Linked DNA regions of Drosophila melanogaster. The protein of the gene in region 1 purifies or fractionates together with the protein of each later gene. This does not show direct contact. Each region holds a gene or a part of one and is shown in the gene's direction. Other genes may lie near its edges.

What was found.
Region 2: the proteins of TpnC25D (region 1) and CG10265 purify together in Drosophila melanogaster (affinity purification with mass spectrometry, with the first as the bait; one large-scale study listed by BioGRID). This does not show direct contact.
Region 3: the proteins of TpnC25D (region 1) and CG40045 purify together in Drosophila melanogaster (affinity purification with mass spectrometry, with the first as the bait; one large-scale study listed by BioGRID). This does not show direct contact.

The regions. Positions count from the first base shown.
Region 1 is NT_033779.5:5,215,433-5,220,718, forward strand, and holds TpnC25D (troponin C at 25D), read left to right. Parts: upstream 1-2,359; 5' UTR 2,360-2,918; coding exon 2,919-2,921; intron 2,922-3,014; coding exon 3,015-3,432; intron 3,433-3,494; coding exon 3,495-3,523; 3' UTR 3,524-3,621; downstream 3,622-5,286. Other genes in the region: CG14034 (uncharacterized protein), read right to left, coding at 42-210, 273-850, 903-1,005, 1,055-1,082; tkv (thickveins), read right to left, coding at 4,661-5,286.
Region 2 is NT_033778.4:14,991,276-14,996,380, reverse strand, and holds CG10265 (uncharacterized protein), read left to right. Parts: upstream 1-2,545; 5' UTR 2,546-2,629; coding exon 2,630-2,869; intron 2,870-2,952; coding exon 2,953-3,735; 3' UTR 3,736-3,858; downstream 3,859-5,105.
Region 3 is NT_037436.4:24,026,062-24,035,359, forward strand, and holds the start of CG40045 (uncharacterized protein), read left to right. Parts: upstream 1-2,453; 5' UTR 2,454-2,616; coding exon 2,617-2,662; intron 2,663-2,749; exon of another isoform or gene 2,750-2,877; intron 2,878-4,693; coding exon 4,694-4,796; intron 4,797-8,816; exon of another isoform or gene 8,817-8,916; coding exon of another isoform or gene 8,917-8,957; intron 8,958-9,298.

The DNA.
Region 1 (5,286 bases):
TAGATAAAAAGAGATCTGGAAAAATAGGTGCTGGCACTTACTTCGGATCCACGTGAAAACCCATCAGCTCTATATTTTTATCAGGAATGCAAATTCCCTTTGCGAAGCTTTTAAAATTGGGACAGTAGAAGCCATAGAATCCAGAAGGTGACGAAATAGACTCGGCATAATAGTCTGCTGCTCGGTTATGGTAGCAGAAATGAGTCTCCACTAAAGTCAGAACAACGAAAATGAAAAATATAGGTAAAGCAGATGGCCTTAATATTACTAACTCTTATTAATGGGTCCGCAGTTGGGCTGTGATACACCCATGTTCAAGTAGAAGTCCACGTGACCCACTGCATCCAGTAAGCCAAGCATCGTGACATCCGTGTGCACGACGTCCACGAACTTGGCATCAGTGGGATCGAGCTTTAGAGCCGGATCCTTGACCATGTAAAATGGTTTTGCCGGATCGAGGGCTGTAATATGCTCCAGCTTGTGTTCCGGAAGAAACTGCCCAATGAAGCCTGCGACATGGGCACCTAAGCCCAAGCCAATTAGGTGCAGATCCTCAATTTTGACCAATCCGCTCTCGAGGAGTACTCGTAGCAACTGAGCAGTACAGCGAGCTACGTATTTGGCATTGTGCACCGCTTCCGTATAGCAGGGTTCATAGGCTAGTTTTGGATAATCCAAGGATATCAAATTGTAATCCTGTGTCAGGAACAGCGGACGTAGCTGGGTATTGGGACTGAAATCGCGGTGCCCGTTGAATCCATGGATCAGAACCTTGAGCGGTTTGTGGTGATAAAATTCAAAACGATTAAGTTCAAAAACTGAAAGCTTAGTTCCCTCCTGATTTTCTTTTCTGCAGATACGGATAGATAATGAAAATCATAGTATAAAACCATTAATCTTACGTGTATAGCCAAAAGGAAATGTTGGCATTGGGACAAATTTCGTTTTGCAGGGAAAAACAGTTCATATCATCTAAGCCAGCAACGAGCATAACACTCGAGAAGCCTAAAACACGATTACTTTATGACTTTATTATTAACTCAGCCTGAATTACCTATTAAGACCAAGATGTTATTCATCATTCTCTTCGATTCCGTTGAGGCCTTTACTGATTTTTTTATTTTCCGACTTTATATGCTCTAGGTTCCATAAAATCTTTTTAATTAAGTTTGTCTCGTTCAACCGAATAAGTAACCGGAAAGCTTTTCTAATTGCAAAATATGTGCATCTGTAGCGCCCAGGGAGGAGCAGTAAAATATTATAGCAGTGGAATTCTGCATAAAAGTTAAATATGATTAAATTATAAAAAGAACAGAAATAGAATTTTAAAAATCAATTTAAAAATAAATAGGAAGTCAGTAATTAATTAATTCGCGGTTGACTTCGCTCCTGGGCAGAACAATTTGCAGTGGTAATTACATCGTAAATCTAGCCTTAAATTTCATGCCACCAAAATGTCAGCGTTCGAATTAGAACTTATGCCACAAGTGTGGCCAACACTCAACTCAAGCTATTTATACAGATACACATTTTGGGCATTGAAAATTATGCAAAAACAATCGAAGTGCCACTGTGTGAGTGCACTGTGGTCGCCAGAGCAACCCAACCCAACCCAACCCAACCCCTCTTCCCATTGTGCCATTCCGTCACCTCACTGGGACATTCCAAATGTGTTTCACGTTTTGTCATAAATAATAAAACTCAAATGACCATCAAAGCCACTACTGTGCGCCTTTGCCAAAAAAAAAAATGCCGCTGCCGGAAGGTTACCCACTCATACAGAACTATCCAAATTCGAATTCGCATCCAAATCCGAACCCATGCCCAAAGAACCATAGCATCCCCCACAATTGGCCTGTCCATCTAGCGTGATGTCCATTTGCCAGCCTGAATGCCTGTTTGTTTGTTTTAAAGCAAAAATCTAAAACCAAATCAACATTTTTCGAGACCAAAGTGGAGAGGATGGAGGTTGAGGATCGGATGGGTGTGTGGTTAACCGCAGCACTAGTGGCTATGGGTAGAGTGGGTAGCCAGCAAGTAGTCAGCAAACGGCAAAGAGCCTGTGGAATTGGCTGTGGACCAGCCATCGGCATCTGGCCCACACTCATGATCATATGGACAAAAATTGCTATAAAGTACTAAAAATACAATTACCGTGAGAAAATCGCACTGATTTTGTGACTGATTGTGAAGACGTTTATAGTCGATTTTTAGTGACTGACTGAGTGACCGACGGACCAGGCCATGCACACATCTCAACTCGCCGAAATATGGATGCGAGGGTGTACCTATATCTGTATCTGTATCTGTATCTGTATCTGTATGTGCTGTATCTGGTGTATCCGTTGTATCTGCTGCTCTTTTGCATAATTGTGGCGTGCGCTGTGCGCTCGTTTTTCCGGCTGCCAGCGCCAAAGATGATGGAGATGACGTCGCCGTTCTGCCGCCGACCTTAAGGCATCAGTACCCTCCCACCTTACCCAACCCCAGCCAATACCCAACCAATAACCCAACCAACAGGAGGCAGGCAGTGCACCTGTAACACTTTGATCTGATTTAGATCAGCGTCTGGCCAGAATCAGTCTGCGCATCCGCCTCCACCTTCACCTACACCTCTGTACCCACCGCCACCTCCACTAGTTCACATTCCAATGGCTTGGTTAATAAAGTGTTTTGCCGAAAAGCCAAACCAACAATAACCCATGGATGGGATGCTCTGCTCCGCTGCTCCTCTGCCGACGAGGTGTACAACGCTGCGTATGAGTGACGCTTCCACTAAGCGAAATTTGTTGTTTATAAATAATGATCTTGGCCAGGCGATCGGTTTAGTGCGCGCCCGCAGGCCAACGCAGTTGGAACGCATTGGAGATTGGAATACTCGCTCGCTCGCAAATTGTCGTTTGGCCAACAGATACAAAATGGTATCTATCGGGTGTTGTTTTTGCATTTCTCTGGGCGGGTGGATATTGTGCAATCGATTATGATGTGATCGGGCTAATTTTTGGTAACCGCAGGAGGACGACGAGAAAATGGACATCATGCGCAAGGCATTCCAAATGTTCGACACACAAAAGACGGGCTTCATTGAGACGCTGCGTCTGAAGACGATCCTCAACAGCATGGGTCAGATGTTCGACGATAGCGAACTGCAGGCTCTGATCGACGACAACGATCCGGAGGACACCGGCAAGGTTAACTTCGACGGCTTCTGCAGCATCGCTGCCCATTTCCTGGAAGAGGAGGATGCCGAGGCCATCCAGAAGGAGCTGAAAGAGGCCTTTCGTCTGTACGATCGCGAGGGAAATGGTTACATCACCACCTCAACGCTGAAGGAAATTCTCGCCGCCCTCGACGACAAGCTCTCCTCCAGCGATCTGGACGGCATCATCGCTGAGATTGACACTGATGGATCCGGTACCGTGGACTTTGATGGTAAGTATTCCCTTGTAATTAACAAATATGTGATGCTGACTAATTGCCATTTTCGATCACAGAATTCATGGAGATGATGGCGGGCGAGTAGAAAAACCACGAACGCTGATAAAACCAACAGAAAATCGAGCTTTTGGGTTTAATTATAATTTTTTATTATTTTTAAATAAATTAACTAACCGCTTTAATACAAAACTTTAGTTCTTGTGGTCTGCGAGCAGTAATAATGAAACAGAAAAAAAACTGAAAGATACATATCCATCTAGTTCATATAGTTTACTTGTTGCTCTTACAGGCTAGTCATCTAACTCTAGCTTAAACAAGGTTACATGATAAGAACGATAAGATATAAGTTAAACGGTTACAGATAAAGATACATATATAGTATTTACAGAATCGCTTATAACGATAATATATAATATATATACTATATATATGTATGGTTAGCGGCCTATAAACATCTTTGCTATTTACACAAAACAAAAGAGCCGACACAAGTGCACTTCTCGAGATACGCAACTGCCAGTTCTATATATCTCTGGTTATAAATACAAAAATATGTGCTACTAAAAGGGGAGGAAGGGAGTCGGGCTCCTGTCTGTTGGCTCCTGTCTTTACACTTTGTCTTAAGGCAACTAATTCCGTGGATTTTACAAAAGGCAGCATTTACTTGCACAAAGTCTGCAAAGTTTACACTTAAACACTAGATACAAACAAAACATATAAGGACATGTTCTATGTTGAGGCTAAAGCCTCGGGGGTCAAAGAATGGGCGACTTAACTCGTTTAGTTAAAGCGTACAAAAGCTGGCACAAAAATTAATGTATGTTACATATAAATTTCGATTCTTTCGATTGATTTTTTGTTTTGATCTCATATTTATGTACATCGACATGAATAGGTGTCATCCAAAATACTCCCTATATTTCTCAAATAGTTAAAGCATTTTTCTAACCAAAGATTTTGCAAGGGGCCTTAGTAACTAGCTCCTGCCAACTTATATCTAAACTCTAGCTTACAATCAGTGCGACGGTTTAAGTAACCGTAGTATAGGCACCTCTGAAGGATCCTCTGCTTTACTCCGCTCACGTACAAGCAACTTACGATTAGAACCTAACTATGAATTTCCGGACAAAAGGTCGGAACTGCGTATTCAACAGAAGTTGAACAAAAACAGAAAACTAAATGCAACTTAGGTTAAACCTAAAACGAGACTACAAACAGCTGCTTAGACAATCTTAATGGGCACATCGATTAGACAGTCTGTTTCCAGTCGCCCCAGCGTCTTCTTTACGCGCAGGGCAGTCAGCCGAACGGTGGGATTCGGGTGCCAGCACTCCTGCATGATCTTGGATACGGTGGCGAGTACATCATCCTCCTGCCAGCGTGATGGTATCGGCGGCCGGAAACCCTTTACGCACACAACAGCGTGCATGTCCTCGAACGTGGGATCCGAGGGCACCACATCGTGATAGGGCAGGGCGTAGTCCTCGCAGGTGGTCGTCTTGGTGCCCGATACGGGTGTGTAGCAGCGACGGGTCATCTCCCACAGAACGAGACCCACTGAATACATATCAGCCCGTTTGAACTCTTCAAACTGCTTGGGATCCAGCTGCTGACTCAATACTTCTGGAGCCATGTAGCGTCGAGTGCCGACACGTGGATTCTGTGCAATGTGAATGACATCCAGTTCCGAGTTGTACTTCACTGCCAGCCCGAAGTCAGCAATAGCGCACTGCCCATTCCGCTTGACCAAAATGTTCTTGCTCTTGATATCGCGATGAGCGATAGCTGGTTTGCCAGGGGTTCCGAAAATCTCGTCGTGCAGGTGGGCCAATCCGGAGGCCAGCGAAA
Region 2 (5,105 bases), on another chromosome or scaffold:
GCTTGGCTTAAGTGACAGTACAAGTGTCGGGCGAAGGTGCTTGGAAAATGCCTGGAAAAGCCACTTGTCCGAACTTACTTAACACATGGCGACACAACTCACACATGCACACACTCTCGCACACAAATACACATACTGTGACACACTATATACATATATGTAGTTGTGCAGCTGCGGAAAGTATGCAACATTTTTGTACGAAAACGTGGTCGCACGGCCAAGATGTTGAAAATAGTGCCAGCGAAAAGTGGGGAAGAGAACTGTGATGGGGTGGCCTTAGTTAATTCGCAGTCCACAACAATGCAACAGCAACAACACCAACATCAACAACAACAGCAACAACAACATCTGTGGCAATTGTAGCGCCAGCTTTTCTATTGTATTATGACAGCAGCTGCACCTGCAAGTATGCAGTGATTGTGATTCTTTGCTTTCATTTTTTTTGCTAGTTCACTCGGCTGCGAAACCCCTTGAAAAACAGTAAACAAAGAGCAGGACAATAGTGGACGGGTGGTGGGTGGTGGGCGGCTGGGCGGACAGATGGGTAGGTGGTAATGCCCTGCCATGGCATGTGTTCATTGTCCAAGAGCAGTTCATGCCTGGTTACGCATCCCTATGTGTGTGTGTGTGCCAGTGAGTGTGTGTGTGTGTGGTGGGGTGCAGGACAGGTCGGGGGGCAGTTGGCATATCAACTGGTCGGACATGGTGTAAACACGTTTAATGTTGTTGCCATTGTCGTTGCCGTTGCCATTGCCATCGCATGGCTGCAGTTGCTCCTCCTGGCAAGCTGGCTGGCTGGCGAGCCCTCGGAGTCACGGAGCCATGCAGCCATGGAGCCATGGAGCCACCTAGCCACGGAGCTCGTCCTCTTCTGGCGCCGTCTCCTTTGCCACGTTTAATTTAATCTACTGGCCAAAGCTGCAGCCGCTACCTTGACATGGTCTGCACTTCAATCTGCATGCACGGCGTACAGTGGTGCCTGGCTATATCCAAACTGTTAGCAGCCAACAAGCTAGTTTCGAATTGTGTCTAATTTGTGTAGAAGCATCACAGCACAGTCAGGCGTTTTAAGGGAAGCTAATATCTTCTATTTAGGATCAGTACAATAAACAATACAAATAATAACAGTTATATACTTTAAGCGGTATCCACTGTAGTTTGCGTCCTGGCTGCTCGAGTGCACCGCAGGTCCATTTAACTTAGCTTTGGCAGTGGCAGTTAGTAGTAGTAGTAGTAGTGGCAGTGGCAGCGGCAATGGGGTTCCAGCTAGCTGGCCACCTTCTCCGCTTCCTCGACTTGGTGCATCACTCAAATGCCGGGGAGCCCCGCAGGCCCCCAAACGAGGCGACAGGAATGCGTGTGTGTAGCAGAGCGTGTGCAAGTATGAGTGTGGGCAACGTAATTTGCATGGTCAGCTTGCAGTTTTGGGACACACAGAGTGGCAAGTTGTGCCTCGCTCTCGTCCCTGGCTTAATTGCATGCAGGAATAGCAACTGCAGGAGCAGCCTCATCAGCATCGGCAACTTCATCCAATTGCCGCTGGAGCTGCGACCCACAGATCCATACAATTTCCGGGCTGTAAGCGATGCGGCTCTTTAAAGTTCACTTATTAAGTTGCAAGAATAGCAGGAAAATTCAACCAAAAGTGGGCCAGTTTGAAAAATATCAAGAATATGCCAACGATACTCACCTACGCTCTGCCGGGTGATTATGCTGCACGTGGTTCGACATGGTCCGTGCTCGTTATGCGGAACATTACAACAACAAAAAAAAAAAATTTAATATATATGTAGGTACGCAAAAAGTGCTGGATTTCCTTTTCATTTGTTTTCCACACACACTAGACAGACATTCGAGTTGAAGTCAAAATCAGACAATGTTCCCTCCATATGGCTCCATATCACATTGGTCGAAAAAATGGCAAGCTTACAAATGGCGCAGTCCCCGGCTGCATAAACGATGTCATTTTTTGGATTGCCCAATTTTTTTTTAGGTAGCTTGCGAATCATTTGCAAGCGATTTAATTTCAATTGCATGGGCGTTAATCAAAGGAAACAAAAGCCAACACGGGAAAAAGAACAAAGAAAACGCTAGTCCACTTATTCGACAATGTAAAAGAAAGCAGAGAGTTACTATTAATGCAGCAAAAAATGAGCAGGAGCAGTTCAAATAAAATCTTTCCAGTAATTTTCGATTCATGGACCAAAAACCGTAAACAAAAAAATCGTTCTATTTTACATAGTGAAAGTATGTTTTCATCTATTTTTTATCAATCTGAGCAAAACTACATATAAACATAAATTATTTATATAATATTTATATTAAATTATTCCAAACATTTTATTATACCATTTATATATCGTCATCCTTATCAAATCTTATATCTAAATGTTTTTTTTTTTAATGTGTAATGTGTTTTTCCTATTTGGTTTTTTGTGTGCTTTGAATTTAGGCGCGCAACAAAATGAATAGCAACTGTTTGGTATTTTTATGTCAGATTTTGTACCAACTAAAAATCGTTGACATCTACTACGTTTCAACGTCTGGCCACTCTGCACGAATGCAAAAACAAACTGAAATAATTTTTTAATACCATTTTTCTTCTTGGCGCGAATTGGCTACAAAAAAAATGAATGGATCGCGTAAAATAAAGTCCATGAAGACGATTCGCCTTGGCGACGTTCTATACGACGACCAAAAACGACTTCTAACGCTGTGCCGCAGCTGCGAATGCCACTTTATGACGCTCCAATCGTTCCAACGCCACCTAGCCGATTGCCCCGGAGTAAAATACATAGTAACGCCGATCGAACCGCTGGCATTTGATGATGCCAATCGGGAAACGAGACTGGTGAATGGCAGACAGGAGGTAGGCAGCTAAGGGAGCTCCATGATCCGGCGTTGCCCTGAAAACTTCCTGAGAATCCTTTTGATTGAACTCACTTCTTGCAGATTCACATCTACGACCTGGAGGCGGTTAAGAAGAACACCAACACGGCCATCGATTGGGAGGCAGAGCTGGAGGATCCACGCTGGTACACCAATCCCAAGCCCACCGTGCAGACCATACCAAAGACAAATTCCAAGGAAAATATAGTAAAGGAGGATGTAGTGCCGCTCGCCAAGGAGCCTCAGGAACCGGAAGGGGTGCCTGCGAAACGTCCGCGTAGCCCTCCCACCACCCGACGTACCATTCTGACCTCCCAGCAGCAGCGCAGATCCCGTGCCTGCTTGACTTCCCCTCAACCGCCAGCAGTAAAGATGAAAAAGGCCATCATTCTGGTGCCCACTGTGCTGGAAGATCTGAAGCGATTGCAGGACACGGAGAAAAAGGAAAGGATTCCAGAGGCACCACCAGCTCCTGTACATCCTGTAAGGTCATTGCAATCTCGTGCTACCGGGACAACGCAGTCAACATCTCAATTGGTACCCATGAAATTTTCTCCTGCATCGAAGCTTATTATACCAGTCTCTTCAAGGATATCTGAAGTACCAGAACCTCCCAAGACGCCCGAGAAACCAGTTCCTACCATAACAAGCAAATCAACTCCTCCATTGGATGGCACCCAGAAAATCCTAAACAAACTCAGAGCATGCGGTGTGGAGGTGAAGCGAGCAAGTACCCAATTGAATGCCACGACTGAGCTAAATCCAACCAAAAATCAAGAGACCTTGGACATCATGAGAAAACTGCAATCCAAGGGCATCAGATGCACCAAAGTAAGAAAATCGTAGTTGTATTCGCCGTAGTGTAAGGATGGTGCCATTAAATGTGCCTCTGGAGGCGAGGATTTAGCAATATAACTTTATTTAATTTAAATGGAGATTAATAAATTCCCGGATAGCGTTTATAACTTTAATAGCAAGCGAGTCTCTTTATTATCAAATCGCTTAATTTTAAATGTTTTATTTTGGTTTTTTTGCTCAAGCAGTGTGACCTTTTGATGCGACAACGTTATCGATTTAATATATCGACTATACACTAGTGGTGGCTATTTAGCTTATAAATGTATTGAACTATATTAAATAATTAAAACTATATATCACTCAAACAATGCCGTTTAAATACTTTGAAGACGGTAATCACATGTTCCATACAAAATGTTAACAGTCCTAGCTTTTTTTATGTTGTCCATTTATGTAGCTGAAAAGTTGGCATCACTGTGTAAGAAGAAGAAGCAGCTTGTTGATTTTTGGTGCCGCACGCGTTTCGGTCGAAAGTAATTGGAAATATTTGTGCTTGCGCCCGGCGTTATATATATTTTGTAGTACTCGAAACACTGCCGAATCCAAATCCAAAATTCGCGTGTGCACACCCACCTGCCGAGGCGGTACCAATTAAAAGGTAGGTCAGCTGACGACGATGGCAGCCAATTCGGGCTTACATAATTTGGGGACAGAATATTTATTTTGCCACCTTAGATTTGGCATTCAATGCAGTGAAAATGACATCATTTTGAAATTTTTAGAACCGCTTGTGTTTTGTTTGGTGAATTTTATAATATTTGCAATATTTCGGCTGCAGTTGCATCATTGACAGCGAACCTTAAGTTTAGTTCTCTGTAAAGGTCACCAAGCCCAGACTTAAAAAACAGATGTTTTTTAACAATCTTGGTACGTCCCACTACTAAAGCACTTATAATTTAATATACATTTAATCCGCCAGTAAAACACCTATAAATTTGAATTAGAATTCAATTTTATTCTCATTTCAAGTTTCAATATTATTTCTATTTCAAATACTTGTAGTTCATTTCCTTACTTAACTCTCGGGCACCGAACAAAACTGCATTGCATTTTCCTTTTAATAATCCACTACATTTAGCTTTGAGAGTTTCAGGCTTAATTATCTAATTGAATTCGTTACATTTCGACACTTGTTTTTATTCAGAGTTTCATTTTCGTGGTATTTTTAGGCTAAACTACTTAGTGCATGTGCCCATTTGAATTAAATTAGTGAGTCTACCTGGGTTTATTAGTTTAGGGTTTTAACATTAACTTAAAGCTGCTTATTGTTTGCATATCATTCAATCCTTTTCTTTTTAGCTCTCTCGAATCACAAAACATTTACATAGTTAAAGTATTAACAGTGAGAAACATATACG
Region 3 (9,298 bases), on another chromosome or scaffold:
TTCATCTTACAGACCAATAAGTCTACTCTCATGCATTTCGAAACTATTCGAAAAATGCCTGCTGATCCGACTTAATCAACATCTGATATACCACAATATAATCCCAGCCCACCAATTTGGATTTCGCGAAAGCCACGGAACCATTGAACAGGTGAATCGTATTACAACGGAAATAAGAACTGCATTTGAATATCGCGAATACTGTACAGCAGTATTTTTAGACGTATCCCAAGCATTCGACAAAGTCTGGCTCGACGGCCTAATGTTTAAAATTAAAATATCCCTACCCGAAAGCACACACAAACTTCTAAAGTCTTACCTCTATGACAGAAAGTTTGCAGTGCGGTGCAACACTGCCACTTCCACTGTTCATACAATTGAGGCTGGAGTCCCCCAAGGCAGCGTTCTTGGGCCAACCTTATACCTCATCTATACAGCCGACATCCCTACAAATAGTCGCTTAACGGTATCCACATTTGCCGACGATACAGCTATCCTTAGCCGTTCAAGGTCCCCTATCCAAGCTACAGCACAGTTGGCACTGTACCTCATCGACATTGAGAAGTGGCTCTCTGACTGGCGAATAAAAGTAAACGAGCAAAAATGCAAGCACGTGACGTTTACGCTAAACAGACAAGACTGTCCTCCGCTCTTGTTGAACAGCATACCACTCCCGAAAGCAGACGAGGTAACGTACCTAGGAGTACACCTAGACAGAAGACTCACATGGCGCAGGCACATTGAAGCCAAAAAAACCCAACTTAAACTCAAAGCCAACAACTTACACTGGCTCATCAACTCTGGTTCTCCGCTCAGCCTAGATCACAAGGTCTTGCTCTACAATTCTATATTGAAACCAATCTGGACCTATGGCTCACAGTTATGGGGCAATGCCAGCAACAGCAATATTGACATCATTCAGCGAGCACAATCAAAGATTCTGAGAACCATCACTGGGGCACCGTGGTACGTTCGGAGTGAAAACATCCAAAGAGACTTAAATATCCCATCAGTTACCAACGCAATCACGGAACTTAAGGAAAAATACCATAGCAAGCTTCACACGCACCCCAACCACCTAGCGCGAGGTCTAATCCAGCTCAGCAGCCGTTCCCGTCTCCGGCGAAAGGACCTACCAACCCAGCGAATAAATTATTAGGGCCGTTTAAACATAGAACAGTTGGAAAAATAATACAACTGTTCAAAAAATACTTGTTATAGTTAAGATTTTTAAACTTATTGTTAGTTCTTATACAAGAAGATTCAATAAATAAAAGCAAAGTAAAAAAAAAAAAAAAAAAAAAAAAAAAAGTTAAAATAATGATGAAATTAGTTTTAATGCTGTAAGATCGCCTACATAAATAATAACTGCTAACATTCCCCTGTTGAAGTTTGTCGTTAATAACATATTTACACATTATTCATAATTAAAGTAAATATAGATATAAATCGGCAATATATTCGAGCGGAGAATTTAACAATAGAGTATAAAAAATCTTCGTTAAAATAATTATAGTTACGGCATATATTTTTTAATAATATTTCATCCTGTCATATTGCAACGACATTGGCCAAAACTCGAAATCTGTAAATTTGTTTCTTAGATCAAAATTGATATCGGCCCGCAAACCGATAGAAGAGTGCGTAGAAAAATAAGTGGGACTTAAAATATTGACGAGAACCACAGTGGAACCCAGCCAATCTATTTAAAAACTCATATGGAAAACAATTGGTTCTTACACTGAATATGCGTTTCGCGATTTTTAAAGCATTTTATACGTTTGTTAGGGATAGGGTTAAAAAATATTCTTGCATTTCAATGTTTTTTGGTCGGTATCGTATATGTGGGCAACTGCTGTAACTGTAATCGGCTCACAAAAGCTCTGCAATAATTTATTTATGTTGTTATTAATCATAGCTTCAATACCATAAATAAGAAAATTATAAGCAAATTAATAATATGTTGTTCATTCAATAAACTTGTTTATTTCCAATCCAATTACAGTGGTTTGTTATCAAGAGCAAGCATGTTGTCTATTCTATTCTATTTTGAACTTGTGTTGGTATTTATAAATTTTAATCCTCATAAATTTTGATAACATATATTTTTAAATAAACAAAAGAATACAGAAAGGTTAAGGTAAGGATGATATCTACAGAACTTTTTACAAATTTAACCGCAAAGTCTATTGGCATACATTAAACCGGGCTTAGTACCAGCCATACGGCAAACTCTGCTGGCAATATGTGATGATATTAACCGTTTTTCTTCATTTTGGGATTGCCCCTTATATTTTTTTTGTAAGTATAGGATTTGTATATATATATCCCCGGTACCTGTTAGCCAACCAGAAGCAGTCAAACGTAGTGTAAATGTAATATAAGTGTAGTTGGAAACAAGTGTTATTGTGTCACATTCGTCTTCACAGGAGCTAGATCTGTGTTAAACTTGTATAACTAGTTCTTTTTTATGTTTGGCCTTTATAGAAAATTCGGTGGTCGATGTCGATCATTATATTTACTTTCAATACTAACTTATTTTTAAGCATACAATTTTTATTTGTGTTAATTACTTGTGCGTTAAACTGAACCAATTCATTTATCATACAACTTAGAATGTCTGAACTTCAGTCATCTTTACTGTTAAAAAAACAATTGGCAGGTAAGTTTAACAACTTCAAACGTATATAAATGAGCAAGAATGTATATATAAATGTTTTTACATATGTATATGAAATTATTTTTCCAGTCTTGCACATGTGGTTTTAAAATTGGTGCAAAAACCATAAGCTGGCAATGCTCAACCAAATACATATATTATGTGTAATATGAGTGCACATATGTAATTTGTAGCTTAAATATTACCTATATCTTAAGGTAATTTTAATAAATTCTTGTTCTTTTTTGTAAAGTTAATAGTATACTCTTACATAGGATAATAAATGTGTATATGCGCCAATACATATATGTGTAAATATTTGTGTCTACCCTTCTTTTTAAAAATCTCGTGGTATATATTATTATGTACTCAAATTAATGATAAAATTTGAGCAGGAGTTTGCTTAATATGCCGAAAAGATAAATTTATATATGTGTATGAAGGTACACATAATATATATTACTTTCTAACTCTAATAAATGCTTACATCTACACATATGTGTGTATGTATATACAAATTTTGGTAGTGTTCCCTTCACTGCCTTAAATTAAAATTTTTGGAAAGAAATTGTTTTCTAATGATTTAGACATTCAACAACACTTAAAGACTTGGCCGAATGATAGATATATTATTATCATATTTTTGTTAACACTCTACAAAGTTATGGTTAATTGATGTTCAAGGTAACCTAATAAAGCATTTATGTTATTTGTAGGGTTAAACAATGTTCATTACAACCTTTACAATGCTTAGCCCATTTCTTATTTTCAGCCATTAATCGCGAATAGCATTTTGCTACAGGGGCAACAGTATTTTAAAACAAATGAAACCATATACTTTGTTATTTAATCGAACATGTCAACAATGGAATGAGCTTTTTAAATTCGTTTGACTCATACTACTAACTAAAAAATGTATTTATGTATGTATATGTGATTTTTTATATACATATGTATGTATATGTTTATACATATGTTTTTATTCTATAATAAAAATTATTAATTTGTTAATTTGTTTGTGATCGCTAGAGGGAGTCACTAGCATCTACATGCTTTATTTTATCTTTCTATAATTTTCCATCAAGATCTCGACAATCATAAGGACGGATAGACAGATATCGCTAGATCGACTCGAATAGTGATCATGATCTAGAAATATTTACGTTTTAGAGTCAGATTTACTCTTTTTCACCTGTTTCAAACTTTTCATATTATCTTAAATTCATATGTGCAGTTGAAACAACAACCCTAAGAGAGCGTGCATTACGCACACACGTATATTTAAATCCATAAGTGGATTCAACCTGTAAGAGACTGGACATAAAACTTTACTGTACATCGCCGAATCTTTAAATTTGTTGTTTACTTTTTGTTCAGTTTATTGTGGGTTGTAATTTCTATTGAAGTTTCGGCACGTCGACTGTAATCGCCCAACCACGCCAAACTTTTTTAAAAAATATGTTCTCATTTATATATTTTCCCATTTTTCATGTCAATTTTTATCGATTTGCCAAAAGAATTTTAATAGAATATAGAGAATATAGATATAATATTCTTGTTTTCAAATAATTTGACAGTCCAATTCTTTTAGTCGACCATCAGAAAACTGAAAAATTCTTACTTGTGAAACATGCTAATTTTACAGAATTATAGAATAATTTAAATTTCGACTGGGAAACCAAACCATTTTTCGATGGTGGGCGTGACAGTTTATTACGGCTTGTGGGCATTAGATTACGCAAAAACCAGTGGCAAAAACCAAAAGGAATATGCATGTTAAATTTAATTTTCTAGCTCATGACAAATTATCCTGAATATACATACATATATACTTTTTACGATCAGAAACGGTACCTTCTACTGTTATATACAGTTTAACAAATTTGACATATCCTTCTTTTCAACGTCTAAGTGGTATAGTCATAATCCAAAATAAAATAGGTCCTCGCCGAACGTATTTAAAAAAATACAACCTACGGAACCAGATTGTTACACGTGATTACTAAAAATTAATAATTATTTTTATCTTTTCAGAACTAAACAAGAATCCAGTGGAAGGATTCTCCGCTGGTTTAATTGATGAGAATGATATATTTCGCTGGGAAGTTTTAATAATTGGACCGCCAGATACACTGTAGTATGCTATGAACATTGTATTCTTTTTCGTTTAAAAAATCATATTTATGCAACAATCACTGTAGACGCTATTCCAATCAATGTACGTCAAAGCGAAAACTAGACATACATGAAGCAATGAAATTCTGTTGTGGCTGTCCCATTGACACCAACAAAAACAAAAGAGAATGCTCTAATCGAGTTCCCCGACTATCAGATACCCGTTATTCAGCTAGAGTGAAAGCGAACGCGAAATTTCATAATTTTTTCTGAGATATCGATAGATATTGAGGAATAAAATGAGAAAACAAATTATAAAGTTGTTCAAAAGGGTGGGCGTGACCGGTTTGACGGCTTTAGGGCGTTAGATTAGGCGTGCCAAAAAGTTTTGATAAATTGATAAAAATTTACAAGTCTTATAAAAATATGAAAAATATCCAAAACATTTTCAACAATGTGATCGAGGCAGGTTTGGGCGGTTTTAGTGCGTAAGAGTGGGGGCACAAACATTTTTTTTCAAATCGATAGAAATGTACAAGACTCATAGACTCATTTTAAATAATGGTTTAGACATAAGAGAGTTGAGATTGGGCATGCAGATGTAGAATCAGAAAACATTGATTTCCACTCACAAAAGCGTAGCAACCATCTTAAACAAGCTTAACTTATAGTTCTGAGATCACAGATCAAAAATTTGAGAAAGCTGGAGCCAGCTTCAGAGACAACATCAAAAAGTCGTGTGCGAAAAAAATCGTATGACGTTACGCAATTTGTTATTCTAATGTCTTCAGTTCATAAGTGTTATTACAAACAACAATTTTTTGTTGGGTTCGGGGTGAGTAAAGATCGCGAGATTTTTCGATTCTACAGCCGTGTCTTTTTCTGTAGGAGTTTGTCCATCACTACATTTAAACCAATGATGAAATTTCAATGTTTTATGTGCATACGAGCATAATTCGAGAAGTACTACGACATGAAGGCATTCAGGGAATGCTTCTTTATTCATTCCCTGAAATGCCTTTGTAAGAATTCCCTGAAAGGCTTCTCGATATCATATGTATGTACATGTAATATTAGATGTACATTTGCGGTAACAATAATAGCACCATAAGCACATTTCGTGTTTGTCCCATCGTTTCTGTATTTTCTGACACTTTTTCATTATTTTACTCACTAAACTTAAATACTACAATGATTTTCAATCGAAATAACGAAATTAGTAACAGATCTAATGGATATTTTAAAAATAAGTGGTAAAACGAAAAAACCTTCATATTTAGGCGGTAACAAAAATAGCACTGTTTCTCGTAGTTTGCTAAAGCTAACCAAAAAAATGAAAAAATAATTCAACAAATGGATTATATCTTAAGAACTATGTTTAAAGAATCTTAATATTTGGTTGCGTGACCTTTGGTGCCAATGACAGCCGCCCAATGTCTTGGCATGGAGTCCACCAAGTCCTGGCACCGTTATTGAGGAATTTTGCTCCCTGAATCCTTGACCACACCCCAAAGTTCCTCGTTATTATTGGGTTTGACTTCAGAAACCTTTTTTTCACGTTCGCCCAAAGGTTTTCGATTGGATTCAAGTGACTGAGCAGGCCATTTCATTACTCTTATCGATTTCTGCTCTTTCGAGCTTTCTTGCTCGTCTGTTTTGGGTCGTTATCCTGTTGAAATGTCCAAACCAACGGCGGTGGACGCCGAACATAAGACCGAGAGCCTTTCCCACCAAGCAACACAATTTTGCTCTCATCTGACCACAAAATGTTGTGCCACTTCTCCACAGGCCAGTCCTTGGAAATCTTGTCATATTCGATTCGCTTTGCGACATGCTTAACAGTCAAAAGCGGGACTTTTCTGGGGCTGCACGCATTAAGGTTGCTTTGTCCTAAGCGTTTGCGAACAGTTTCCACGCTTTTAGCTATCTGAAGCTCCTTCTTCCATGTTTCGTTCTTTTCGACAAACAGCAGTGCTTTGCGGATCATTTTGTTTCAGCAACCGACAATGCGACCAATTTCAGAGTAGGTTTTACCTTCAGAGATCATGTTTTTAATCAAATTTCTTTTTTCGACGGTACAATGCTTTCCGCGACCCATGACTAGAGAATTTTTGGTCTTCGTTTGGAAAAAATTCAATTAAAACCTTTAGTGCAACTCCGTTTTTCAAAATTTGTCGAAAAAAAACCAAAGTAATCACCCCTATTAATTTTATTCAGCAAATACGTGGTCAGTGCTATTTTTGTTACCGCCTCATTTTGGGCACTTTTGCAGCAAGTGCCCAAAAACAAAAAAGAACCGTTACATTGAAAGAGTAAAAATTTCTTGCTTAGAGATGCAACATATGGTACTTATTATTCATGCAATCTGACTTTAAAAAAAATAAACATTTAATAATTTTTTTTTACGAAATCAACTTTCCACCTGCAGTAGTGCTATTATTTTAAACGCAGCTGTATATACAAAAGTTACGCTTTAGATTGGCCATCAAATAGTCCAGATCTAAGTCCCATAAACAATTTTGGTGGCTAATAAAAAGAGATCTTTGAAATGAGCCACAAAGGAACATTTCGGTCTTTAAATGAAGTTGTAAGCGATGTGAGACTCGATTTCTCGAGGACATTGCCAAAACTTTTTAAAATCAACGCCAAAACGTGTGGCGACGTTATACAATTCTAATATTAATAAATTTGTTATATTACGCAGCGTTTGAATTAATAGTGGTTATTTTTTCTTATCTCTTAAGTCTACCTTTTGAGTAAATAACTCATATTTTTGTTGTTGAAACTAGATCAAACTGCTGAACAAACTGCTATAGTAGTATTGAAAAAATTCGCCTACTGTTCAGATTAATAGTGGTTGGGGCTCGTATGCCCAGTAGCTAATGTTTAATCAAAGACACTAGAATAACAAGATGCGTAACGGCCATACATTGGTTTGGCACTATGCAGCCACTTTTTTAGTGACGGCCAAAATTGCTCTCTTTCTGCTCGCTTACGCTGAGAACGTAAGAAATCTAAAAATAGAATTTGCTTGCTTGTGTGACTTAAATGCGAAATATTTCTTTTGAAATACTTTTAATGTTAAATGACTTAATAAATATACTAAATAATTAAAGGAAGTACAATAGAAATTATTATAACTACTGTAATTTCATAAATTTCATAAGAATATGATAACTGTTTATTGCAAAAGTCATATCAAAGACACTAGAATTATTCTAGTGTCTTTGCTTTGGTCATATCTTATCAACAAGCATTGCCTTATTAATTTTTCACACGCCGCAAGATGAATACTCTAATGACAAATATTCTTATATAAAGTCAATTTTTAAATTTATTTTGTGATAATATGTACATAGATTTGGCTTTTTCTAATCTATTTTCAAAAAACAATAATAACGTTAAGGCAATGCAAAACAAGAATTTTTCGAATGGTGCCAATTGATCAAAAATAATATAGATTTAAAGTCAAAGAACTTCTAAGGTGAAGGGCATATTTTGTCAAATTAAAATGCATGAGCATACGTGTGCACACATACAGTTGTCTGCTATCACTTTATGCGCTGAAAAGACCTGTTCGCTGTAGCGCTCTCCGCTCTCTCGCTCTCTACCAAAAATTCGAGAGAGCCTGGAGCCACCTCTAGAGCCACGGCGAAAAAATCGTGTGCCAAAAAATCGTATGGCGTTACGCATCTTGTTATTGTAGTGTCTTTGCTTTAATCCTACAATACGCCTCCATGGTCAGCTGGATAATGTGATTTCTCCAAATACAGTAATGAAAAATGCAATTATTTACTGCACAGCTCCGTATGCTACAAGATTTTTCGAGCAATCGATGCTCACCAAATTGGTGAAAACTGCTTACTCCATTTAAAATCGTAGCTCCAATATAGAGTATACTACTGCGTTATTCTGGTCCCTCCAAGCACTTAAGCTGGTCCATTCCATTTCCATTTCAAAAGACCATAGAGGATGGAACCTTTTATAATTTCACTGCATAAAAAATAAAGCAACTCGGATATTACCTATTATCATTTTATAGCTAAACTAAGTACCTTCCTTTAAACGTGTACTTACTAAAAGACGATCATGAGTTCACCACCTTTGTTGGCCAAGGCCGCCTGTCAGGACCGTCTTCAGGAATGTTTTTCAATCGGTTAATTATAACCTACTGTTCACCAAGGTACATCTCTGATTTCCTTCTGCCCGCTAATATGAATTCAATCCTACTTAACGAACCGTATTCAAATATAACATATTTGGAAATAGGGTGACTGACTGTGAAGTCTCGGTTATTTTCAGGCATGCTTTTTGTCCATTATTATTCGGTCTGCTTATTAACGATATTTCTCACGTCTTATGAATACGGGTGGCCTTATGTTGTGATTGCGCATAGTCTTATTCATTTAAGCAGCTTAAGTTCGACTTAAATTACTCGGTTATATTTTTCCCGCTCTCTCACACTTCCATTCCAAAACCGGGTGTCTAAAAGTCTTGTCACTTGTATGTAACTCCCATTACTAA